3 linked regions of the Xenopus tropicalis genome follow. Each later gene encodes a partner of the first gene's protein in a complex. Links are inferred from orthologs where the notes say so. Each region holds a gene or a part of one and is shown in the gene's direction. Other genes may lie near its edges.

What was found.
Region 2: the proteins of erbb2 (region 1) and ptpn18 are in contact, whole or in part, in a crystal structure (PDB 4NND), measured with the Homo sapiens proteins. The link is inferred for Xenopus tropicalis from reciprocal best matches to the Homo sapiens genes ERBB2 and PTPN18. Residues at the interface, in NP_004439.2 of Homo sapiens: Leu1109, Gln1110, Arg1111, Tyr1112, Ser1113, Glu1114; in NP_055184.2 of Homo sapiens: Arg61, Tyr62, Lys63, Asp64, Val65, Arg138, Asp197, Arg198, Ser230, Ala231, Gly232, Cys233, Gly234, Arg235, Arg268, Ala273, Gln276.
Region 3: the proteins of erbb2 (region 1) and grb7 are in contact, whole or in part, in an NMR structure (PDB 2L4K), measured with the Homo sapiens proteins. The link is inferred for Xenopus tropicalis from reciprocal best matches to the Homo sapiens genes ERBB2 and GRB7. Residues at the interface, in NP_004439.2 of Homo sapiens: Pro1135, Gln1136, Pro1137, Glu1138, Tyr1139, Val1140, Asn1141, Gln1142, Pro1143, Asp1144; in NP_001025173.1 of Homo sapiens: Ser437, Arg438, Glu439, Gln442, Arg458, Glu459, Ser460, Asn463, Gly466, Val468, Lys476, Lys478, His479, Tyr480, Leu481, Ile482, Tyr492, Phe493, Ser494, Met495.

The regions. Positions count from the first base shown.
Region 1 is NC_030686.2:9,815,337-9,818,986, reverse strand, and holds part of erbb2 (receptor tyrosine-protein kinase erbB-2), read left to right. Parts: intron 1-138; coding exon 139-229; intron 230-322; coding exon 323-480; intron 481-1,728; coding exon 1,729-1,776; intron 1,777-1,877; coding exon 1,878-2,013; intron 2,014-2,117; coding exon 2,118-2,240; intron 2,241-3,548; coding exon 3,549-3,647; intron 3,648-3,650. UniProt on the Homo sapiens protein: Protein tyrosine kinase that is part of several cell surface receptor complexes, but that apparently needs a coreceptor for ligand binding. Essential component of a neuregulin-receptor complex, although neuregulins do not interact with it alone.
Region 2 is NC_030684.2:703,706-707,355, forward strand, and holds part of ptpn18 (tyrosine-protein phosphatase non-receptor type 18), read left to right. Parts: intron 1-766; coding exon 767-862; intron 863-2,954; coding exon 2,955-2,993; intron 2,994-3,423; coding exon 3,424-3,498; intron 3,499-3,566; coding exon 3,567-3,629; intron 3,630-3,650. UniProt on the Homo sapiens protein: Differentially dephosphorylate autophosphorylated tyrosine kinases which are known to be overexpressed in tumor tissues.
Region 3 is NC_030686.2:9,714,397-9,717,235, reverse strand, and holds the end of grb7 (growth factor receptor-bound protein 7), read left to right. Parts: intron 1-5; coding exon 6-69; intron 70-166; coding exon 167-254; intron 255-667; coding exon 668-761; intron 762-1,485; coding exon 1,486-1,632; 3' UTR 1,633-2,234; downstream 2,235-2,839. UniProt on the Homo sapiens protein: Adapter protein that interacts with the cytoplasmic domain of numerous receptor kinases and modulates down-stream signaling. Promotes activation of down-stream protein kinases, including STAT3, AKT1, MAPK1 and/or MAPK3. Promotes activation of HRAS.

The DNA.
Region 1 (3,650 bases):
GCTGGGGGGCTGTTTGGGCATCTGTGTACTTGCAATGCCAGGGGCTATTGTGAATCCCAGTTCAGACCTGATTAAGTACAAGCTACAACATGCCATAATCCTTTATGGTGAGCTTTTGTTTTTTTTTTTTGCCCTCAGATACCCAAGAGAGCACGTTAATGGAAGTCAGTGTGTGCCTTGCCACCCTCAGTGCCTCCCACAGAATGGAACTCTGACATGCAATGGCACGGTAAGTTAAACCTGTGTAATGTGGAGTCTACAAACGGTTTACCAAAATACACAAGTGTATCGAATTTAATTATTTTTGTTTTTATTCCTACAGGAAGCTCACCAGTGTATGGAGTGTGCTCACTATTTGGACGGAGAAGACTGTGTGGAGCAATGCCCTAGTGGGGTGAAGGGAAATTCCTTTGTACCCATTTGGAAATACCCTGACAAGGATCGGATCTGCCAGTTATGCAATGTCAACTGCTCCCATTCGTACGTAATGTTCATTGGTATCTCAACAGTGCTCTAGTTTTCTACCCTTGCCAACATAGGTTAATGCCACATGGGGCTGATTCTTGGCATTCATTTAAAGGAAAAGTAAAGGTTAAAACTAAGTAAGCCTTATCAGGCACGCCTATGTAAATACAGCCATAAACACCCACAGCAATGCTGCCCTGAGTCCTCTGCCAAAAGAAACACAGCATTTCTTTCCTTCTATTCTGTCCACATGTTCTTCAGTATCAGACTGAAGGGTTTGGGCTCGAGCATGCTTAGCTTGCTCCTCTCTTCCTCTCCTCCTCCCCCTCTTGCCTCTGCTGTAATCTGTGCCCAGAGCACAGGGATGCAGGCATGGAAGTGAAGTCAGACCAAACTAACATGGCAGCTGCTTTCTTAAACAAACAGAGGGAGCTTCTAGGGCTGTTTACTCAGGTATAGTAAAGCTTGCTGCAGAATATAGTGTTCTAGCTTGCACTATTGTGGCTAATCTATTGGCAATAAACTGCATCAGTAGCTTTCCTTCTCTTTCTTCTCTCGCCGGTGGGATGACATACGCGGCATGGCGATTTGCCAAAATCGTCGAAGTTGCCTTGAGAGGAAACTTCGGCGATTTCGGCACCGCGTATGTCATTCCACCGGCGATTTGCATTGTAGCTGGTGGGATGGCATTTCGGGGGGATTAGTCTCCCGCGACAAGGGAGATTTGTCGCGTGGTGACTAATCTCCCCGTCTGTCACGGCCCTTAAGCACAGGCCAAGAATTAGCTGATCCGCGGACATCCACTCATTTGTGTGTCTGCACCAAGAGCCTCTGCGTTTGCCCGGCTCCAGGCACACAAAGTGAATTTTGGGGCTGAAATGCATACTTGCTCATTTCAACACTGAAATGCGCATTATGTGTCCTGCCCTGGGCCGACACTAAGGTCCAGTCACCGAAGGTAGGAGATAGGAGTTGAGGGGCTGTTTCTCGGCCTGCGTATTAGTGCAGACCGAGAATAAGCCGATCTGTGGGCATCTGCCCAGTTGTGTATCTAAACCTGGAGCCACTACAATGGCCTGGGTGCAGACACACAATGCGGATTTTGGCTTATACGCAGGCTGAGAAACAGCCCTTATGGGATTAAACACAATATATAAGCCACAGTAATAATATATGCATAATGCATAGGGTCCAAAACCGTTATCGGATAACACTTGTAGTCAATATAAATACACAGTACTTAGCTTGCTGTTGTTCCACCAGGTGCAATCAGCTGGATGAAAGGGGCTGCCCAATTTTACCAGACAACAGGTAAGTTTGGCGATTAAGTTCTAGTAGATTTGCAGCATGTTCTAGTTTCTTCTGAGTTTCCATAACATCTGTCTTATTCCTTTTTCTCCCATCGCCTGCAGCCAAGTGTACATGGTAGCTTCAATTGTGATTAGCATTCTGATTGTGATAACCATATCAACTGCCATTGTGCTGTATATCCGGCGCCGAAAGCAGCTGAAGAAGAAGCACACCATGCGCCGCCTTTTACAGGATGAGGTGTGTGTGGTGCCACAGCCCATGTTTATTATATAGAGCATAGACCGGAGTCAGGGACTTGGCATATGATCTCCTCTCCATTTCCCTTGTGCTTTCTTTTCCAGCTTGTGGAACCGCTGACTCCAAGTGGGGCTATTCCCAACCAAGCCCAGATGAGGATCCTTAAGGAGACAGAACTTAAGAAAATGATGATCCTAGGATCTGGGGCATTTGGTACTGTGTACAAGGTGAGACATCATGGAAATGGATACTGTTTTGTATGGAAATGGATACTGTTTTGTAATTCTACATATTTAACTGTTTCTCAGTGCAACATACAGTATGTCAGATCAAGCAATTAGAGGCTACTACTTCAGTGAACAATAGACTGACCAAGAAGGAATGAACATTGTTGCTCTCCAACCCCTTGGATGTTGCTCCCAGGGGCCTCAAAGTAGCTGCTCATTTTTTAATTTCTGGCTTGGGGGCAAGTTTTGGTTGTATAAAACCCAGTGTAAAGCCAAACAGAGCCTTCTGTAGGCTGCCCGGCCACATAGGGGCTACCAAATAGCCAATTATAGCTCTTATTTGCACACCCAGGAACTTTTTCCATGCTTGTGTTGCTCCCCAACACTTTTTCCATTTGAATGTGGCTCACGGGTATAAAAGGTTGGGGATCTCTGAACTAGACCCTTATACGTTACTATTTATATAAGTGAAACGGCAGCTAAATATGTATTTGGGGATGTGATGATATTATGAAGATTTACAGTTAGCCATCATTTATAGCAGGACTGTCCAACTAGAGGCTCACAGGCTGGATGTGACCCTCTAATTGGCCCCCAGTTTGCTCTAGGGTTCCATAGTCTTCATTGTATGACATCGTCATTTTAATACAATTTGGCCCTGAAACGTGTTGTATAAGAATTAATTGGCCCAATTGGACAGCACTGATTTATGGGATACCAACCCATAAATATAAAGTACAATCTGGTTGCTATGGTCGCTAACACAGAAATGCTTAAAGCAGTGTAAAGTAAAATGAAAAATTGTATTTGTCAAAGGTATCATTCAAGCTGAATATATACTACCCTGGGCACCCCACAATATCCCAGTACCCCAAAAGTGCACCACAGACCCCATTGTGTAACCAACACTGCGGAATCAACACATCAACCTGGACATAGCTTACAGAATGGGGCAGCATTTATCAAAACTAGACTGTTCCAATGAAACTGGACCTGAGGCAGAACTAGCTGACACTGAAATAATTACACTAGTGCACTAGTGCTGCCCCCTGCTGTTTTTAAGGCCCCATAGCATTCTGAGACATAGTCACTATTTATTGGGCTGCTGGGGGGCTGTTAGGGCCTCTGTGTACTTGAAATTCCAAGGCCTATTTTGAATCCCAGTTGATCTTCTGAAGACTCTGAGATGTCTAAACCCAGTCTAAACCTCATTTAGCTATGCTTAGAAAAGAGTTGAGCACTAGGGTGGTTAAACAATATGTTTCCATTTGGTAAACCCTATCCCGTGGCTGTCTTTCCCATTTTTAGGGTATTTGGATTCCAGATGGTGAAAACATCAAAATCCCAGTTGCCATCAAAGTTTTGAGGGAGAACACGTCACCTAAAGCCAACAAAGAGATCCTTGATGTA
Region 2 (3,650 bases), on another chromosome or scaffold:
CAGAATTAGCGGGTATCAGTGCCAGCTTCATTAAGGTACCCGCTAGTGGGTATGAGGGGTCAGTGCCAGCCTCAGAATTAGCGGGTATCTGTGCCAGCTTCATTAAGGTACCCGCTAGTGGGTAGGAGGGGTCAGTGCCAGCCTCAGAATTAGCGGGTATCTGTGCCGGCTTCATTAAGGTACCCGCTAGTGGGTAGGAGGGGTCAGTGCCAGCCCCAGAATTAGCGGGTATCTGTGCCGGCTTCATTAAGGTACCCGCTAGTGGGTAGGAGGGGTCAGTGCCAGCCTCAGAATTAGCGGGTATCAGTGCCAGCTTCATTAAGGTACCCGCTAGTGGGTATGAGGGGTCAGTGCCAGCCTCAGAATTAGCGGGTATCTGTGCCAGCTTCATTAAGGTACCCGCTAGTGGGTAGGAGGGGTCAGTGCCAGCCTCAGAATTAGCGGGTATCTGTGCCGGCTTCATTAAGGTACCCGCTAGTGGGTAGGAGGGGTCAGTGCCAGCCCCAGAATTAGCGGGTATCTGTGCCGGCTTCATTAAGGTACCCGCTAGTGGGTAGGAGGGGTCAGTGCCAGCCCCAGAATTAGCGGGTATCTGTGCCGGCTTCATTAAGGTACCCCCTAGTGGGTAGGAGGAGTCAGTGCCAGCCTCAGAATTAGAATTCTGATTGGCGGGAATGCCTTACAGAGTAATAATGGGGGGGCAGTTGTATTTCCCAGGGGTACATGGGGTACATGCCAGGGCACTGATGAACCCTCTGTCGCGCAGGGCACGGATCCGGGCCGCGGTTACATTGCCACCCAGGGGCCCCTCCCGCACACCATACAGGATTTCTGGAGGATGGTCTGGCAGTACCAGGTGAAGGTAAGAGGGGGGGCAGTACCAGGTGAAGGTAAGAGGGGGGGGCAGTACCAGGTGAAGGTAAGAGGGGGGGCAGTACCAGGTGAAGGTAAGAGGGGGGGCAGTACCAGGTGAAGGTAAGAGGGGGGGGCAGTACCAGGTGAAGGTAAGAGGGGGGGCAGTACCAGGTGAAGGTAAGAGGGGGGGGCAGTACCAGGTGAAGGTAAGAGGGGGGGCAGTACCAGGTGAAGGTAAGAGGGGGGGGCAGTACCAGGTGAAGGTAAGAGGGGGGGGCAGTACCAGGTGAAGGTAAGAGGGGGGGGCAGTACCAGGTGAAGGTAAGAGGGGGGGGCAGTACCAGGTGAAGGTAAGAGGGGGGGCAGTACCAGGTGAAGGTAAGAGGGGGGGGCAGTACCAGGTGAAGGTAAGAGGGGGGGGCAGTACCAGGTGAAGGTAAGAGGGGGGGGCAGTACCAGGTGAAGGTAAGAGGGGGGGGCAGTACCAGGTGAAGGTAAGAGGGGGGGGCAGTACCAGGTGAAGGTAAGAGGGGGGGCAGTACCAGGTGAAGGTAAGAGGGGGGGGCAGTACCAGGTGAAGGTAAGAGGGGGGGGCAGTACCAGGTGAAGGTAAGAGGGGGGGCAGTACCAGGTGAAGGTAAGAGGGGGGGCAGTACCAGGTGAAGGTAAGAGGGGGGGCAGTACCAGGTGAGGTGAAGGTAAGAGGGGGGGCAGTACCAGGTGAAGGTAAGAGGGGGGTAGTACCAGGTGAAGGCAAGGGGGGGGGGCAGTACCAGGTGAAGGTAAGAGGGGGGGGCAGTACCAGGTGAAGGTAAGAGGGGGGGGCAGTACCAGGTGAAGGTAAGAGGGGGGGGCAGTACCAGGTGAAGGTAAGAGGGGGGGGCAGTACCAGGTGAAGGTAAGAGGGGGGGGCAGTACCAGGTGAAGGTAAGAGGGGGGGGCAGTACCAGGTGAAGGTAAGAGGGGGGGGCAGTACCAGGTGAAGGTAAGAGGGGGGGGCAGTACCAGGTGAAGGTAAGAGGGGGGGGCAGTACCAGGTGAAGGTAAGAGGGGGGGGCAGTACCAGGTGAAGGTAAGAGGGGGGGGCAGTACCAGGTGAAGGTAAGAGGGGGGGCAGTACCAGGTGAAGGTAAGAGGGGGGGGCAGTACCAGGTGAAGGTAAGAGGGGGGGCAGTACCAGGTGAAGGTAAGAGGGGGGGTAGTACCAGGTGAAGGCAAGGGGGGGGGCAGTACCAGGTGAAGGTAAGAGGGGGGGCAGTACCAGGTGAAGGTAAGAGGGGGGGGGCAGTACCAGGTGAAGGTAAGAGGGGGGGGCAGTACCAGGTGAAGGTAAGAGGGGGGGCAGTACCAGGTGAAGGTAAGGGGGGGGGGCAGTACCAGGTGAAGGTAAGAGGGGGGGCAGTACCAGGTGAAGGTAAGAGGGGGGGCAGTACCAGGTGAAGGTAAGGGGGGGGGGGGGCAGTACCAGGTGAAGGTAAGGGGGGGGGGGGCAGTACCAGGTGAAGGTAAGAGGGGGGGGCAGTACCAGGTGAAGGTAAGGGGGGGGGGCAGTACCAGGTGAAGGTAAGGGGGGGGGGCAGTACCAGGTGAAGGTAAGAGGGGGGGGCAGTACCAGGTGAAGGTAAGAGGGGGGGCAGTACCAGGTGAAGGTAAGAGGGGGGGCAGTACCAGGTGAAGGTAAGGGGGGGGGCAGTACCAGGTGAAGGTAAGAGGGGGGGGCAGTACCAGGTGAAGGTAAGAGGGGGGGCAGTACCAGGTGAAGGTAAGGGGGGGGGCAGTACCAGGTGAAGGTAAGGGGGGGGGCAGTACCAGGTGAAGGTAAGGGGGGGGGGCAGTACCAGGTGAAGGTAAGAGGGGGGGGCAGTACCAGGTGAAGGTAAGAGGGGGGGCAGTACCAGGTGAAGGTAAGAGGGGGGGGCAGTACCAGGTGAAGGTAAGAGGGGGGGGCAGTACCAGGTGAAGGTAAGGGGGGGGGCAGTACCAGGTGAAGGTAAGAGGGGGGGCAGTACCAGGTGAAGGTAAGAGGGGGGGGCACTGCCCTTCAGTCGGCCCCAGGGCCGGATCCCTCCTCTCATCATTTGTCTCTTGTCATTGGGCAGGTCATTGTGATGGCGTGCAGGGAGGTGGAGCATGGAAAGGTAAGTACCCACCTGTCTCTCAATGCCCCGCCCATCTCAGCCCCCCATTGCCATTGGTTGATCTATGGGGAGGGTTGTTCCCTAGTTGGGAATATGCACAGGGGGGGGGGAAGGGGGGGCAAATAGCTCAGATTGCCCCGGCAGATCCAACAGGGGCATTTCTTACCCTTATTCCCTGAACACTATTCACAAGCTGCTTCTGTTTAAAGGGGAACTAAAGCTCAGCAAAGAAATAAGCTAAAACTGCTACACTGTGTATTGTGGGCCCCCACACCAGCCCGGGGCCCCCACAGCCCCTTAGTGGCACAAAAGCATCAGCTCCTATGCCAGATGTGACCTCACTTCCTGTTTGAGGATTGGCCACGCCCCTGGGCCGGTACTGTAGGGCCCCACCTTCTCCTGTATTTATATATCCCCATTCCTCCCCTAGAGAAAGTGTGAGCGATACTGGCCCCTGGATGATGCCACCACGCCGGCCCAGTTTGGCCCATTCACCATCAGCAAGGTAAGTCCCATTAACTCCTTATCAGCCGGGACCCACAATCCTCTGCTGACCCCATTCCTTCCTTTCAGCTGGAGAAGAACAGAGTCAATGCCGAGGTCATCTACCGAAAACTCAGGGTCACCTTCAGGGAGGTAAGTGGGGCTACAGCGCTT
Region 3 (2,839 bases), about 100 kb from region 1:
TATAGAAGAAAACAACTCACCGTTACAGCCTTCCCACCCCATGTCAGGCCACCCCACCCAACAGTGCAGGTAGGTCTTCAAACCACTGAAGCTCCACTGGGTGATGGTCCCCATGCCTCTGAAAGTTTGCCAAGATTAACAAGTAACCAATTTTCTAACATTTTAGCAATTCACAAATCTCAAGCCTGGTACCATGGGCGCCTGTCAAGAGATGAGACTCAGCGGCTAATCATGCAGCAAGGGATGGTGGATGGGTGAGTGGCTGCCAAGTCAAAGTCATATCTGTTCTTTTAAAGTACCCAGAGGTTGTGTTGGGAAAAGCTAGACATCATAAACATTGAGAAGGTCACACAGCCAAGGGGAACTTAACATTTATTTCTTGGGTGTGTGGGCAGCGTCAGACTGGGCCTCTTGGGCACACAAGAGAACTTGACTGTGGGGCTCACTGTCACAACTAGTGGGAGTAAAACCTGCTAAACCATTTAGTTAGAACTAAGTGGAATTACTCTACAGAGGTTCCCTGGTACCCCAGCAGGCGAGTCTGACTCCCGCGTATGGGCCGAGCTGCTAAATGTAAGAGATGAAGCTATTGGCACAGTTCCAGGCAGAAAAGTGTATTTTTATTTTCATTTCTATTTCATCCTTGCCATGTCCTTGCTTCCTGCAGAGTTTTCCTGGTACGGGAAAGTACGAGAAACGCCAAAGGCTTCGTCTTGTCTTTGTGCCACTTGCAGAAGATCAAACACTACCTAATCTTACCGGTACGTGCCAGTCAGAAACCAATATGGCAGAACAGATCCCTAACATTGCCCAAAGCAAATTTTTTGGATGATTTATTCTACTTCTCATATGGAACAGATTTACATTGCTAAACTTCATTGATGCCGCCTCTAGTCGCTGGGCTCTCTCTTCTGTGAATGTTCCTGACATAGCGACATTTTATTCTTGCCAAACAGCCCGTCCATCTCCCTCTTACAACAGGATGGCCTGCAATAATGGCCGACTTTCTTTCTTATTGCTTGTTGCTCTATTCCTTTGTTCCTGCAATCCCATTCCAAAGTTTCACAACCTGTCTGGTTCTAGTGATAATTTGCATCCATGGTCTAACAAAGGTGTTCCAATGAATTTATGCATGTTACAATTGACCCTCTTACACAGTGATCCCCAACCAGTGGCCCAGGAGCAACATGTTGCTCCCCACCCCCTTTGATGTTGCTCTCAGTGGCCCATTTTTGGCTTGGAGACAAGTTTTGGAAGCCCAGAGACACAGTTTTACCCCAAGCAGAGCCTCCTGCAGGCCAGTAGGCCACATGGGGCCTACCAAATAGCCAAGCACAGCCCTTATTTGGCCCCCAAAGAACTTTTCATGCTTGTGTGGCTCCCCAACACCTGAGTGTGAGTTATGAGTAAAAAAGGTTAGGGATCCCTGCTCAGCATTTTTTGTTATTCCACATTTTAATGCTTTATTTGTTGCCTTGATTTCAGTGTGAGGAAGAAGGCAGGCCTTACTATTCAATGGATGACGGAGAGACCAAATTCCTTGATCTTATCCAACTGGTTGAGTTCCATCAGATCAACAGAGGAATCCTGCCTTGCACTCTGAAACACTACTGTACAAACGTGGCACTGTGACAGGGGCCTTGGCTGGGGTCTCTGAAAGAAGACCACTGGGAAGCCATAGAATGGGATGACTGTTCCACTTTTACTGGTATCACTCAGATACAGTGTAGTATTGTGGATGGTTTGGTCCAACAGGGGGCTAGTAGCTGCATGCCCAGCATTAAGGCAAGTGATACAAAAACGATAGCTACCGAGGACTGAGGTATGAGAAGAAACTCAATAAGCTACATTTTTTAAAATCTATGCTGGTGCAAAAGCTTCACGTGACTGTCATGGCAGTCAATAAGACAATTTGGTTCCAAAGAAAGACTCACTTTCCCTTTTCTGTGGACGCCCACGAACAGATGAAGAACGCTGGGTAAATGCCATGGTAAGTGGTGCGTCTGTTGCTGAGAGCACTGTACTGTAAATATCAACACGGCCAGTCGATGGTCAGATGTTTTATATGGTAAATCCTAACTATATATATATTTTTGACATCTATTTTTGCTTATTTTTGTACAAAAACACTCTAACCTCATTCTGCTTATGAAGAGAACATTTTATTTATATCTACCCAGACGTGACACGTAATAAAAAAAAAAAAAAAGAGAGGAAAAGCTGCACTACCCAAACGTTTGTGGCTGCTGTGTTGTTGCTGTGCATTCTGGGATTTTCATGGCCTGTTCCTCCTCATTGGCATACATTTTAGCACCAGTTTTGCACTGTACAGAGGCGCAGAAGAAATAATGTATGAAAAACCATTGACTTCATTCACAGAACAATCCACCTGATTCCACTTGTAGGTGTTGGGGGCCCTAGCCATTAACTCATTTGCCATTATTTATCCAATTCCTACCCAAAATCTCATAACTGTCCAATAGTAAAGTACACACAGATGTACAGCTGTACACAAGGCCTCCATCAGAAACTTTGGGGCCCCCATACAAGTGATTTATATAGGGGTCCCAATTATTAACACAAGCACCAAGTACCACATTTTTGGCCCATGTGTGTGCATTATAACCAGCTGATGTAACTCTATTATAAGCAGTTCATATAAAGAGTTCCATTGATTAATGCACTAATTAGAGGTCAGTTCATTGGTGGTCAGTGGAGTTTGCCCTAAGTTTAACCCCTTCCTACCTACCTGCCCATAGAGGACTATAGAAATACCTTGGAGGGTCACATTCAGCCCACGGGCTGATAAGTTAGATGTGGCTCAGGAACAACATATTCC